2 linked regions of the Oreochromis niloticus genome follow. The protein of the gene in region 2 purifies or fractionates together with the protein of the main gene of each other region. This does not show direct contact. Links are inferred from orthologs where the notes say so. Each region holds a gene or a part of one and is shown on either strand. Other genes may lie near its edges. The genes, in order: pstpip2 and tyrosine-protein phosphatase non-receptor type 12.

Evidence for each region.
Region 1: the proteins of tyrosine-protein phosphatase non-receptor type 12 (region 2) and pstpip2 purify together in Homo sapiens (affinity purification with mass spectrometry; 4 studies listed by BioGRID and IntAct, counting the BioPlex papers as one, with this or other methods). This does not show direct contact. The link is inferred for Oreochromis niloticus from reciprocal best matches to the Homo sapiens genes PTPN12 and PSTPIP2.

The regions. Positions count from the first base shown.
Region 1 is NC_031972.2:17,158,987-17,166,865, reverse strand, and holds the start of pstpip2 (proline-serine-threonine phosphatase-interacting protein 2), read right to left. Parts: upstream 3,131-7,879; 5' UTR 3,019-3,130; coding exon 2,983-3,018; intron 2,206-2,982; coding exon 2,105-2,205; intron 71-2,104; coding exon 1-70. UniProt on the Homo sapiens protein: Binds to F-actin. May be involved in regulation of the actin cytoskeleton.
Region 2 is NC_031981.2:9,889,471-9,896,992, reverse strand, and holds the start of tyrosine-protein phosphatase non-receptor type 12, read right to left. Parts: upstream 3,039-7,522; 5' UTR 2,724-3,038; exon of another isoform or gene 2,576-2,723; 5' UTR 2,526-2,575; coding exon 2,424-2,525; intron 1-2,423. UniProt on the Homo sapiens protein: Dephosphorylates a range of proteins, and thereby regulates cellular signaling cascades. Dephosphorylates cellular tyrosine kinases, such as ERBB2 and PTK2B/PYK2, and thereby regulates signaling via ERBB2 and PTK2B/PYK2.

The sequences.
Region 1 (7,879 bases), on a different chromosome or scaffold from region 2:
CTCACTGTGTCCACACACCTTCTTGGACAAACTAAGGAGTTCTTTGGCATACTTCTCTTCAACTGATGCCCTGAAAGAAACAACCCATTGAGAGTGAGGGCAGCGTAAAAGCATACATGCAAAGATTCGGCCAACAAACAGAACAGTCTGCCAGCCAACAGACTGTATATGAATTTACATGCAAAACCCATACTAGACATCTCTGAAAGGTAATGCTTTATCATAAATTTACATTTATACATCCCTTAGGCTTCACTATCAGTATTTTTTAGAAGTTATAAATTTACATATTAAATTATTAACTGATACAAAAAAGACAGGACAACATTTACATGTGTGGTGTTATAATTGGAGTCTGTTCTTTCTCTGAAGAGTTTTGACAGGAACATTGATGCAACGTTGGAGAAGAAAATGGAAAATAATTTATCAATTCTAATATGCATTGTACAATGATAAATATTAAAAAAAACATACATATAAATATACAACTGAATACAGTTTTACTATACAAATGCATGAGCATGCTATAATGCTGACCGCTTAAAATATGCTTAATTTGCTTATCAATGCTAATAGGAGACTTAAAATAAAATGCAACTCTAACAGACTCAAATATAATTACACAGCCACAGATCAAGATATAGTTAACACTATTTACAAAAAATCATAAAACATGCGACTCAAACAACCTAAACCAGGAAGTTCTCACACTAAGTTTGACCTGAGTCCTCCCTCCACACCGGCGGGCTGTCGTGGCTGCTCTTTGGTGTCCTGAAGAATTTGTTTTTGCATAACCGAAAGCTGAAAGAATTCGACTGTTGCCGCCGTTTCCCACAAAACACCTCATTCTGACCATGTTTCCTTACTCTACTTTTATTTTGGTAAATCTTCCCACAATTACTGTTAAAACCACTGCGGTTTAAAAATGGTGAGTCCCAAATTAGGAAACGTACAGTTATGTTTTGGCATAATATCCTCCTTTTTTCATAGCATTAACCTCACTAGGTCACGTTTCTGACTACACACTGGACTTTTATATGTGTGGAGTGTTTTTGTTTTTTTGGTATGCGTATGTGTGTGTGGGAGAGCACGGACAGATTAATTATTATAAGAGGAAGATGAATTAATGATTAGATGTGAAAGTTTATACGTCTCTATTATAAAACCTGATGCGTCACATCATTCCTGCTTGACTGGGACTTCATTTCTGCTCTACTGTGATCCACCGACGCATCACCCCTCCCTACCCCGGATCCAACGCCACCTCCAACGCTTACCTCCCCTCTGATGTGGACATCGGGTCAGTTGGAGGCGCAGTCGAAAGATTGCAGCTGTCCCAGATCAGATGTACACACTGGAACACTTTCCCATGTTGCTTGTCTGTGTTTATTGTGCTATGGTGTGTTGATATCTGTGCATTCCTGTATTATCCTTTTGTGTTACACATTTCGATGTTTATTTCCTCGCTACCTAGCCTGACCTGTCTCCCCAATGTGATGTTTGTGTATTGTATGTACGGTCGGCAAGGTCTGTCATCTCGGTTGCGGGCAAAAGACCTGCAACTGACAAATAAAGGCTATCTCATCATCTCTCATCTCATCAACAGTGTGCAGAATTAACCTTAGAGAATTTTTAGAAAGCAGAATTTTACTACTTTTCTGGTATTTAATCATATAACTGCGATAGTGCGCTTTGCACAAATTACAAGACGGTAGGACGTGTTTGTGTTTGACTGACTATATAATTAATAATCAAAATATGTATTTATCTGATTTTTTTTTTTAGATTATAGCAACTAAAATTTACTTTTTTAGGCAACTTTATTTGTTGTATTCCAGTACTGTCCTTAATCTCAAAATGCTCTAAATGCTGTCCTCCTCCACTACACTTGTCGTTCTTAGAGTTTATTTTCTTTTCACTCTCTTCATCCTAATTGCATGCCTGCAGCCAAAACCTGCACTACATCTACCTATCTTGCAGTCAGTTACATTGATAGCAACAACTGGCCTGTAAATGTAAAGCTTGAACACAGTTTTCCAGACTTTGGTTAGAGCCAAACATCCCATCAGTTGTGCATTATTATATATAAGGATGACGGCATTACCTGGCTTTCATGAAATCCTCCACCTCCTTGCATGTCCTCTTGCCATCATTGAGATACTGAATGATGGCATCATACCCGATAGTGGAGGTCAGGTCCGAGTTCTGTCAGCAAGATGCACAGACAGTATTACAGCAGACAGTTTTACAGCAAAGCACATATCTTAAAAGAAACAGAGAGCTGTACCTCTGCTACCTCTACTCCCACACCCAGGTTAACTGTAGGACAGCCACGCTCTGGCTAAACTTGTTTAAACATCCCTACAGACATAAACGAGCACTGTAGCTTCAGAATAATTGACTCTGAGTGTAATTAATGTTTGGGACTAGGCATCTCTGTAATTTAGTTAAGGTGAGGGCAACAGCTTATAATCAACTTGCCAGACTTTCTATTGGTTTAAAATACACCATATGAGGCCATACTTAGACAATGCAAAAATCCTGCAGTGAAATTTAACTACACATATTTGCTTATGTTGCGTAGAAGTTATTGGTACTCTCAGTATTTCCACTCTAATCTGCTGGATTATTCAGTTTACTCTTTACACCACTAAAGGAAATGACATTTACTATTTACACTGCAGAGAGAGAAACGTGATCTGATAAAACATTGGTCAGGTTACACATGACTGCATTACCAAAAACTCCCCATCAGTTCATATCAAGTGTTTTTAATAGCTTAGTTTTGATGCTCCTCTTTCCATACTATTTTACGAACGTTAGATCCCTCAACAGGATTCCCGTTTCTAATAATTAATACAATACAAAAATACAATTTTTTATTAAACCATCTGAAGCTGAATCAAAAAATAAAATGTTTCAAATTCCAATCACAACTTCACAGAAAGACAAACAAACAAAAAAGACAAGAAAAAACCTCACCCAGAAGAAATCCTTAAAATGAAGGTTCTTCATCATGTAAACGGAGCAGGCAGCAGACAGGCGCTTTATCGCAAGCACTCTCTGATCATGTAAGAGAAAGTGCCGACTGTCAGGCAAGAGCTGAGTCTGTCAGGCAAAGCCCGTCAAAGTGACGCAAGCGCAGTCACGTGACAACTGGAGCGCCAAAAACTTCATCGGATTCTTGCGCTGAGCTTGGTTTTGCCGCCATCTGATGGCTAATGGGCGTACTTACAGTGTTTACAGTTGGTATAAACTGGTCCGATAATAATAACAATAATAATAATAATAATAATAATAATGATAATATTAATATTAATAATAATGTTGAGAAGAACAACAAGAAGAAGAAAATACAACATGATTTAAGTAGTTCATTTGAGGGGGTTGATCCCTAACAACAAATAAAACTAAAGTAGTACACTGTAAGAAAACATATGAAATCCTAATTTGTAACGTAATCGGTAAATAGTGCTGTTAAATAAACACAGTGTAGACAAATAGGAAAACCTTACAGTGCTGTAATACCAGCAGTAGCACAGTAATGGATTAACTGCCCTTGAGCCTTTCACTGCTGAAGATTCAAAATAGCCCATGTTAATGAACAACCTCTTCAGCATCAGGGACAATCCATCATTGTCCCAAGGTGCAGGACTGAACTATCCCTTTCGATCCTTTCTATCGGTGGCTATTACACTGTGTAACTCCTAAATAACTAGAAACCAGATAGGATTCATATTTATGTTTGGATTTTATTTCATTGGTTTTATCTGTGTCGTGGTTTTTGTAGCTGGGCTTTATTCTGTCTTGATTCTTGTGCACATTAAAGGCACAAGAATTCTTATCATTCTACATGTGTTATTAATTAATATCAGTTAATAAGTTAATCAGTTACCTGAGTTGGCTTTAGTTTTACTTTTCAAAGGTTGTAAGGGTGCAGCGGTCATATGTAATTATATTAACTGTAGTGACACACAACTCTCGTTTATCATTTTCTTTTTAAACTACGTTGTACTTCAGGTCCCCGACAGCAGAGGGCAACATTTCGCTTTTACACAGCTGCAGTTACTTTTTATTTTTAAATAAATGAACTTTACTGAACAAACAACGAGTAGACAGCATACAAATAGATGAATTATACAAAAGAACAAACATGAACACTCAAAACAAGCTATGATGTCCTATTTCTCATAAATTTTAAAACATGCCACTTCAGAATTTCCCCATCACACGCCAGTCAGTATAGTTTGAGTATTTGTGTCACTTATTCATACAAGTATTAATGTGCATGTCTAGCATGTTGATCTCGGACAGGAAGTAATTAGACAGACAAAAAAGGAGGGGGTGTATCTTCACTCAAGTTTCTATATTATTCCAATATAAATTGATGTTTTGGATGTTCTGATTTACCAGCAAAGGAATTTCCAGTGTGGGTGCTTATGGAACAGCATTCCATAAGCACCAGTAGTACCAGTGTCACACAGATTTTTGATTTGAGCCCTGTAACACATTAAAAATCAGGCATGGGCTGCTGTGGGTTAGGGTCCTACACAGGTTAAACTTAACTCAGGGTAAGTTTAAACCCAGCTGACCTTAGCTTTACAGAGAATCCATTTACATGTTTTTGCTGTCTCACAAATTGACCATACAAATAAAATAAATTTTAATAATAATCTAATAAATCAAAATTTAATTCTTAATTTAAAATTTTTTCCACTTTAACCACATGAATACGACAGTTATAATATTATTGCTAATTTATAATATATAATAGGGAACAAGTGTTTAATATTTACATATAAATATATGCATACCTTTAGGTAAAGTTACATTTCCTAAGAATTTTTACATTAAATGATCTGAATTCACTTCAACCCAGATGGAATGAACGGCTTATTTAACGAACAGCTTGACTATTAATGTCACATCTGTGTACTCTTCATTTGTCACTATTTACACAAACAAAGGTCAAAGCCTGTCAACTTTTTTTTGTTCACACAAGCTACCTGCTCCCATCACAAATAACACAAGCACCGACTTCAAACCTACCCCTGAAAGCCCCCCAAAAAAGTCAGTGTGTTTTCCAATTTATTTATTTATTTCCACCAAAGCAATGTCACTCACACAAACCCCAACCATGAAGTGGAAGATTAATGGGGTGATTTCCTCTCAGAGACGTTGCAAAACAACACAAACTTTCATAAAAAAGGTCACAAGACTGCACAAGAGAGAAACCATGATAAGCCTGTTGATTTACATTCAAAACATATACTTGTACCTTAAGGACCTGGCAATAAAAGAAAACCTCAGAGGCCAATGCATTTTACAATGCTGTTATCAGCAGCAATGACACACCTGCTGTAACCATGTGACCACTGAGCTCTGTGGACAACTAGCAGCTGTGTGAAATGTGCAGTGGTGCCACTTAGATTTGCCCCATTTAAGTACGTTTACTGTAGTACAATAATAGTAGTAGTACAGTAATTAAAATATAAAGACATTTTCCCACTAACCTTTAAAATTGTTTTATTGCCATACAAGTACTATATATAGAGAGACATAAAAATATACATAGAATTATACCACTGTATACATATTTAGTATACTAATAAATGCCTGTTTCGTGTTATTGTTATGAAAGGAAAATGACAGGATCTGTTCAGCCTGTTGCTAAGTGGATACTGTCACATTCAGGTGTGTGGAGAAGAGAGAGAGGACCCAAATGCAGGACTCTCTGGCTGGTTTGGAATGGAGTAGGGATTTATTACAGAGACTGAACTGAACATGAATGACTTAACTACATTGGAAACACACACGAGGAGTTGAGGACAACGAGACAAGGAAACGAGGGCTTAAACAGACAGGATAACGGACAGGAAACAGGTGGGATCACAGCTGGAATAAATCTAACTAATGTCACAGGGGAAGTAGAACTAGACATAATGCAGACGAGACAAAAGACTATCACACTAACCAGGAAACATACATGGGAAACTAATCAATGACAAAAGTTGGGTCCAACACCCAGGTACCCTGACAGATACCAGGCAAGATGAGGGGATCATAAATATATCGTACATAATTTTTCACTTTCTATATGTTTTTTTTTTAAAAAAAAAAATGCAGAAATGTAATTTGAAATTTGCTCTCAATCTAAATTCGCTCTTAATTACATGGCCCTTTAAAGGAGGCCCATCATGTGTTTAGCAGCCACTAGGCTAAACTGCTGACTAGTTTACACCCTGTTAGTACAGGGTTGGGCCAGCTTCAGCCTTCAGTATGGCTTTATTAATTATTTGTGGCATAGAGGCTGGAAGCAGGATTAAAAGATTGGTACACTCTGGTCATCAAGACTCAGGCCAGGCAACACTTTTCGAATATTCTGTTGTCTAACCATGAAAAGCCACTGGGAGTTGAGGCCGGAATTTCCTCTTTTGCTTTAAGCTGAGTGGATATTTTCTCTTTCTCTTACTAAAACTCTAGAGATGGTGACGCGTGGGGAAATTCAAATAGATCAGCAGTCTTTGAAACTTCCAGGCCAGCTCATCTGGCACCAGCAACCACGTGACTTTTAAAGTCACTTTAACTTTCTTCCTTATTCTGATACTCGCTTTGACCTTTCACAGGTAGTCTTGACCTTGTCTGCATGGTAAATGCAATGAGTGCTGCCATGTGATTGGTTGGATGAGATATTGATGAGCAGCTGAACAGGTTTAATAAAGAGGTGTTGAATGTATATTAAAACCAGACCGACTAGCTATAACAGTAAACATTGTGGCATAGGTATTAACAGACCCATGATGCCACATACATTAAACATTTATATTGTGGTACTTTCAATAATCTAGATTTCTTAATCCTAAAGTTTGGACTTTAACTCAGTTCTCAAAAGCAAATACTTTTTCCTTAAATAAAGAAATAATACTGCAACTCTCTAAGCCGTCGTATCACCTGATTTTAAACAGCGGTATATTTTACAGGTACTTCCCATTTCGTACGAAAGGAGAAGGCATACCAAAACAAGTTCATGGCGCTTGTACTAAGCACAATGCAAATAATGCACTTTTAAGGAAGAAGCGCAATGCACATATCTTTGACTTCCACGTCACAAAGTTTTTCATCACCCTTTAGCGTAAACAGGTCACGTGCCCAGTGTGTGTAACGTGATTAGAGTGGTGTTGGCCTTGTTTGTTTTTGCATTAATTCAGTCACGGAAACTTGCGTGACACCGGTTAATGCAAGGTTTTGGTGTAAAGAAACATTTTCTCCAGCTTGTTGTTTTAAATATTCTGTGTTTGTGTTTATATAATACGTCCAATGATATCTGTCCTGTACATGGTGAACAGTGAACAGTGTTTCTAAATATCTAATCTTATCGGCCAGGAAACAAAATGTGGCTGTGAACTGTTGCCGTACATTCACTCTGTACTGTTTTCTTTATGGTTGGTTTGTGAGCTTTTTTCAGTTAACAAACTGGTCTGATGAAATGTTGCTTCGGTGGAACTGGTTCACATATTGTTTTGCTTTCTCTTTGATTTGGTTATGAGCTCATTCTAAGACTTCTAACTTTTTTAAAAAACATATGTACGTGTCAATTTCTATTGTCCGTGTTATTCTTAAATGTGACTTTCGAAATAAAGTATAGTGTAGGATATATATCTTTAGCAAAGTGAAAACATACTAAGTTTTAACCATTTTAACCTTTAACACTACTGATTAGACGCTCGTAAACAAAGTAGGAGGAGGAGGAAGTTGACTCGTGACCAACAGGGGATTTCTTTTTGAGTATGTGGCTGACGTATGTAACATGTTTAAAAGCCGGTCTGTGCTATCAATAGCTCAAACCTGTTTCTTAACATCAAGTCTCAACACTGTTTTG
Region 2 (7,522 bases):
CTACAACTTCTGAAAAACACCACATTTAATAGCCTAAAAACGCTTGGTGGGTGTTTTGCTGGAAAAACTGATGGGAAGAAACACTTTCAGCTTTAAAAGCTTTAAAATTGTTCTCCTCCTGTACAACGTGTGGTTGTTGTAGGCAGTTTGACAAGGCGTGGACGTGTGTAACCTATGAATGACAAGTATAGTGGTGCTAAAAGAAGAACCTGCATTTAACCAGTTGAGTCTACAAACAGAATTTAAGGGCGAGAGAAAACGGGCAGGCAATAAAATCACAAACATATGGACACTGTACTTAGTCTACTGCGTAAAAATTCATCTAAAGAGGGCATGCATGGTGAAATTAATCTTCTGTAAATAAGCCAAAAGCAGACTAGTTCCAGCTCCGTAACGCTCGTCCACCAAGCACTTCCTTAATGCCTCTCACATAGCTGAGAACTCAATTTTTTTTTTGCCGAACATCTCCCAGCTCCTTGTTTTCTGCAACTCTCACTCAAAGGACAAGATAGAAGGCTAAGTCATGAGCACAAAATTAGACACAGATTCGCTTATTACAGAAACTGTTATGTACTTAATCTGAACGAGAGAGAGAGGCCTCGATCCAAAGTGTGCCAAAGAGTTGCATTTTTAAAGCCAGGACAAAATGTTATGAAATGGGCCAAGAAAGAATGTTGCAAGCTCCAGCAAGCAGCTTGCATGAAGTAGGGAAGTGAGGAGAGTCTGTGTGTGGGGGGAAAAGTTAACCATTCTGGTGCTGAGGAGCTTAATTCCCACATAATCAAACTGCAACATGATTAACATGAAACTAAGCTGGACGATAAGGCTGCTCATGAAGGAAAGTCTAAACCTGTTAAACCGTAAACTTGCTGTAAATTAAGATAGTAAATCAATTTCCACCGGAACATTTCTAAACATATCTAAATTAAAGTGGGCTCAATGACAGAAATGTTTTTATAGGAGTGACATTCCTGTTGTGGCATTTTAAACCATTTCACAAGCCTTGGTCCTATTTTGAGTCCAGACTTTCAACACAGTGACATCCAGTTATGTAGTGAAGGCAAACTAATGACTGCGGGTCAGCAGTCACCGCAAAATATGTAATCAAAATTACTTCAACAGCAAGCATCTCTAATCTCAAAAGATCCTCTCCACATGTAAGAAAGTTACCAGATTAAAAGTAATGCTGTTGTAAGGTTTAGTTTAAATCAGGGATGTCAAACTCATTTTAACATTGTGGGCCAGATACAGCCCACTTTGACCTAACTACATGTTTGTACCCGAGAGAGCTTAATAGATGGAGAAAAAAAAACTGCATGATAGAAAAATAATTTTTTGTAGTAAATGAAAGAAGTCTGTCAGCATGACTCTTAAATAGTAAGACAAAAACCTGTAAAATGGCATGCTACAATTAGGTGTATCCATTGCACACATAAATGACCTAAAAATAAACAAATATAACAACCATAAATTTCTATAATAGACAAAAAACTGGAACCTTTCAAGCATTTAATTTTTAAAATCTTTGCCGTAGCTTGAATCGCCATGTGGGTGCCTTTATAAGTAAAGATAAAGCTGTAAAACATTTGAAAATACTGTTAAAAGTCCAAAATTTATACCCTCAATCATGTCTTCCAAACTTTGGAGTAGGTTCTGATTGGCGTCTTTGCTTGGCCTCCAAGTCTTAGGTTTGACAACCCTTGTTTAAATGGTCATTTTTTATATGGGTCCAGTGTTTGGGGAGCTTTTTGTAATTTGCTTCCGTTAAATTGGAAATGTAAATACAAGTTTGCAAGTGGCCAAATTTATGAATGACCACAATAGATACCTGCTAAAACTTCTACTAAAATTGAAGTCATTTTATAAATAGCTGACAGTTTTGTTTTTTGTTTTGTTTTTTTATTACTGGAACACAGGGAAAACCACAGGAAATAAAGCATGCAATCAAGCTTAGGTTTGTGGATATTTACTGCTTATGAGGACAATGAATCACTGCACTGTGTCTCAATCAAGCATATAGCCACAATAAAAGATATACCTACAAGCTGCTCCAGCAACGTCATTAAAAAAATAAATAAATAACCAAGAGCTAGAGAGACAAGAATATATCGCGTCTTTGTCATTTGCCCTTTTTTTTAAATTTTAAAGAAACAGGAATCGGTTGTATTTCTGTGGCATGGGAGACAATGCTAGGCCGCCATGTAAAGCCTGGAAATGGGAGGAAAAAGGAAGAGGGCAGTGTGGCCGCCCCTGCCTCACCTCCTGGGGGATACACAGAGAACCAGGAGACGGGGAGGGGGCTGGGTGTGATATGAAGGGTCAGTATGGAGGAAAAGGTGGAGGTTATAAAGGGAAGAGGGTACATGTGAGACAGATATAGGATACAAGAGGCTAGGTAGAGGCGCCTGTTAATTTTGACCCACCATAAAGTCGCTGCCGAAGTTATCCTCTCCCCTCTCATCGTTCCCCTCGCTCATGGCCTTCACCCCCTGGATAAACTTTCTCAGGATGCCGGCTTGGTCCATTCCTTCAATCTTCTTGTTGCCTTTTCCTTTAAAAAAAAAATCTCCCAAACTGGCAGGGGGGTAGGGGAAATGTTACAAAAAAATAAAACAAAAACGGACACAGGGAAAGAGGGAAGAAGGAAGGGAGGGGAATAAATAAAAATAAATAAGCTTCACGGGTCCTCCCAGAGAGTCATCGTCCGCTCACAACAACACCTTTTTTTTTTTTTATTATCGCCCCATGTTGTTTCTCCCTTTCCTTCTTTCTTCTGGACTGTTTTCACAACGACAGCGGTTAGTCCCAGAGAAAAGCAGCAGCGGCCGGGTTTTCTGCCCCGTAAAGAACTTCACAACCGCGGCGGTGCACAAACTGTAAACACTTGGCTATGCGAGAAAAGAAAAATAAAGGAAAAAAGACAAGAGCCTAGGTCTGGCCAGCCTATGTACCCCTCCCTGTCTACCTCGGTTGCCACATTCACACACTGCTGCTCGTTATTCGCTACTGGGGAACATCCGGACTGGGTAAAGCCAAGGAACAATTAGGCCCGCCCCTTCCAGGATATACTTATATCTGATTGACTAACGCTGACCAGGAATTAAAATCCAAGTGGCTAAACTGGGTGTCGCTCTACCAAGTAGCGTGTTCTCATTGGATAGAATGTGTGCCTGTCGTTTTGACGCTAATCGTCATTGGTGAGATAAATTACGATCCAAAACCGTAACGTTTAAATAAACGGCGTTACTGTTTTGCTGTAATTTTTTATCGATACTTAAAAAATTATTTGTTTTTATTCGATGATATGCTGCTTCACATAAAAAAATGTTTTTTCTTACAGTCTGACAACTAAATTATATATATCTAAATAGGTCATCCGTATGATTACATTTCATTGGGAAAACAAACTTATTTATATCTTCGTGAACGATATAGTCCTACCCTAGTGTAAATTTTACATAATTTCATTTGTCTAAAACTTTAGTAACCAAATTATTTCTCAATCCTACAGTGGTATTGTAGTACTTCGCACTTTACGAGTATAGGTATATATTGCAATTCACTGCGTGTCAGCGCTACTTAACAAATACTAATTTAATGGGAACTGTTTATCAAAATGTACAGATACACCTTTCTAGATCTGTGCTGGTAATTTGAATTACTATAACCTTCTCTATAACCTGCTCTCAGAAAATACCACTCACTGAATATTTTCTCTCTTTTAGGCCATTCTCCATAAACTCCATTTGAAAATCTCAGTAGATCATCAGTTTCTGAAATACTCAAACCAGCTCATGTGACACCAGTAACAATTCAGAGTCACTCGAATCAAACTTCCTCCCAATTCTAATGCTCAGTTTGAACTTTTGTAGGTCGTCTTGACTATGTCTATATGACTATGTCATGCATTAAGTTGATGCCAAATGAGTGGCTAATTAGATATTTGTTTTATAACAGGTGTACCTAATAAAGTGGAGGTGAGTGTGTATATATTCGTGCATTTCTGTTTCTTCACATCGGTGGAAAAACATTGCTGGATGTTTTTTTAATTTTTCACTTTCTTAAATCAGTGATCACATTCATTTTTAGAAAAATAGAGTATATCAGTAAACGTTTGCATACATTTGCATACATGTATTGAAATCTCTTGGCTTTCAATATCTAACTATCCGTGGTCTAAAATCAGAGAGAATAACTATAACAAATAATCCTAAAACTCAAATAAATAACCCTGCCATGAAGCCATAGGATGGATGGATGGAGAGATAGAGAGATAGAGATGGATGGATGGATGGATGGATGGAGAGATAGAGAGATAGAGATGGATGGATGGATAGATAGATAGATAGATAGATAGATAGATAGATAGATAGATAGACAGATAGATAGATAGATAGCTAGAAAGAAGCAACAAACAGCCAAGAGATTAATGGGTCAGATATATAATCTGGATTAAAATGTGACAGAAATAGAGACAAAGAAACGTATCATGTATCACGCACATATTTAATTCTCCAGTGTGACTCAGTGTGTGTGTGTTTAGGTGATGTGTTTTGTCACATACTCACTTTTGCAGTGATAATGCTGATCTTAATTTTGTTGTAAGTTTTGTTTCAAAGACAATAAAGGCCTTCTAATTCTAATTAGGCATGCAGACAGTGTAAAATTGTCACTATTGTGGTAGCAAAAGCAATAGTAGTTATTAGTACTATAGCAGAAAATGTATTAGCATTGAAAGTACATGGTATACAGCAGAAGATTGGCATTATGTATGTGTTATGTAATAATGCTAAGAGGTTCTAATTTGAGCATCCAGTTCATTTAAATTTGATGTAACTGACAAACTGAGGAGAAAGTGCGAGTGACAAAGACGGAGAAAAAAAGAGAGGAACCAAATTGGTATTCAGGATAAAGCTGTCTGGGGACGAGAACTCAATAGACACTTATGCACGACGAACTGTCTTCCAATAAACACAGAGGGGAATCAAGTCACTTTGTTTTCCTTTAGTTCTAGCTCTGACAACAAACAAACCCATCTATTCAGCTAGAGTAAGAGGGAGAAGGAGAGGGGACGCTGTCACCGAGCCAACAAGCCTTTCCTCACACAAACTGCTTTTTGTTGCTCTTGTCTTTAAACGTATTTGCTTGTTATCCCAGTAAATATTCACTGTTTTCTTTGCTGTCCCAGTTTCATGTCCTTCTCTCTTTCCTACATTTTCTCTCTCGTTGTTTAATTTTATTTCTGAGCTGACTCAAACTTTCTTGCCCTTAGCTGTGCACTGAATGGAATCTATAGTTTAGTTGTTACTGTATATAAGAGATGCATTATCTACTAATCCAATAACTGAATTCTGAACATTTTTGGGGGATTAAAGAGCCTAAGAAAGTTATTCAGCCAAAAACAACAACAACAACAACAGCAAAAGACCCCAACATATGCTGAAACAAAGAAATATTTAGTATTTTGGTATGTATAAAATATATATTTTTTTTAATTTAAGAATTTGATTTATCTTGTATTGACACTGAATGATTAACTGACTGGTCATGTAAGCTCTGATGTGCAGTATCGTGAGTCTTTGCTGTTGTCATCTCAACCATCAATTATCTTCTCATTGCTGTACAGTTGCAAAAACCTGCAGTGCAATTGTTGGTGTTTTTATGGCAACAGATGTATGTTTTCAAAGTCATTAAAGTCTTTTAAAACTTTATATTATGAGCAGAAATTATTTGAATCCATTCACTGCAGCCAGGGTCATTAGTCTTAGTTGACTGAATATTGAAAATTGGAAAGAATACTGTTTAGGAACATGTTATTATTAATGTCATACTTTTACTAATAATACTCATATTACTGGCTCAGACACACTAAAAATAGGACGGCAACTTCCTTGTAACTAGGAAAAATTAATGGTTTCCCAGTGTCTGCATGGCTGAATCTTTTTGCATACAGTCACTAATTGCAAGTGGTCGCGGCGACCGACTGCTCACACAGAGCTTGGGCATCCAACACCGTCAACTTCTGGCCGACCACTTTCAATCACAAGGCAGTTGCACAGGTTGCCTGGTGGGAGGCAACCTGTCTCCAAACAATTCTGCCGATACTTGGACTGACTGCAATTACTCTCATACACACTGGTGAGGGTTAACTATATAAATGAAGACAGATTGCCAACATGTTACAGTCAAGCTAAGTCAGTTTGCACTTTTCAGTGCAACTTGTCTACGATGCACCTCTTTGACTCAGCTGGTCAGGTTGCTAACTGGTTGTACTCTGGTTATATTCCTATATAAAAGCATTTTGGAGTTAAATTACCGCCCTGCACCGACTACATCAGAGTTTGTGGAAGAATTTGTGTTACAAATCTGTTAGGTTCTCTCTGGACTCTGAATGTAAGTAGTTATTGTTAATTTCTGTGTATGTAGATGGCAACAGTTTTCCCAGTTTTTCCCAGTTAACTGCTGTAATATCACAAACAGATTGCATAATTGCCACCTTGATCCCATTTAATTATAAATTATTGCAGACCGACTCCAGCTTTTCACCATCTTAACCCAACAAGGTTTCTTTAAAGACAGCACCTGACCCCGCCTTCGAAAAGACTACTTCGAAGACAATAAGACTGCAAGTTACCACAACTGGTGTCCAACCGCTGCTTTCCCTTATGTTACTGTAGCATATGGTAGCTTTGTCTTTCTTTATAAAAAGTTCTTACTCATTATTATGTGTACAATCCTGGGCACAGCTCCTCAGTTCAACTTTAGCTTGTTTCCCTCTAAGACCACTTCCTTTAACCCACGTTTCTTCTGATTGGCTGCCCCTCTCAAGCACAAGGTGTGAATACAGGTGGATGGGAAGCAGGAAAGGCATACTGTGTCAGTTTTAAGGTACGTAAATAATGATTTCAAGCTGATTCTGTTTCTTTGTGAGTCTGTAAAAAAGGATGTAATTGTGTAGCTGGATTATTCTGTTTCCTCCCAGCACAGTTCATTAGAAACAGGTCAAGCAGACTGAGGAGATAAACACACATCAAAGAGCACTTTGGTCTACTGTACTCTGTGTGTGCATGCGCATGTGCATAACTTCTCTTATGGCTGTATGATGAGGAATATTTTAGGAAAGAGCTTGTGGCCTTCTCTCTTTTCTCAGCACTGGCTCTGGTTGCACTGCATCTGACCCTGACCTCTGATCTCCATGCAGAGAAGATGGGAGTCAAAATTTCACAAGAGGAGGAGAGAGGGGGGAGGATCAGTTACACATGATATTTTTATGACCCTTTTTCCTTCCTTTACCAATTTCCTCTGCCAGTGCATCACCACTCTCTTTACCCCTCCTTCTCCACAGATACGTCTACGGCTCTCAAACATATACACCCCCCCCCCCCCCCCTTTTTTTTTCTCACTGACTCTTCATTTCCAGTCCTTCCTCGTTCTATACTCACTCTCTTCTTTTTTCCTTCCTCCCTCTCTTTGTGGAATGTACTGTTCAGAAGCAGCTGAGTGGAGGAATGTTGCTGTAACA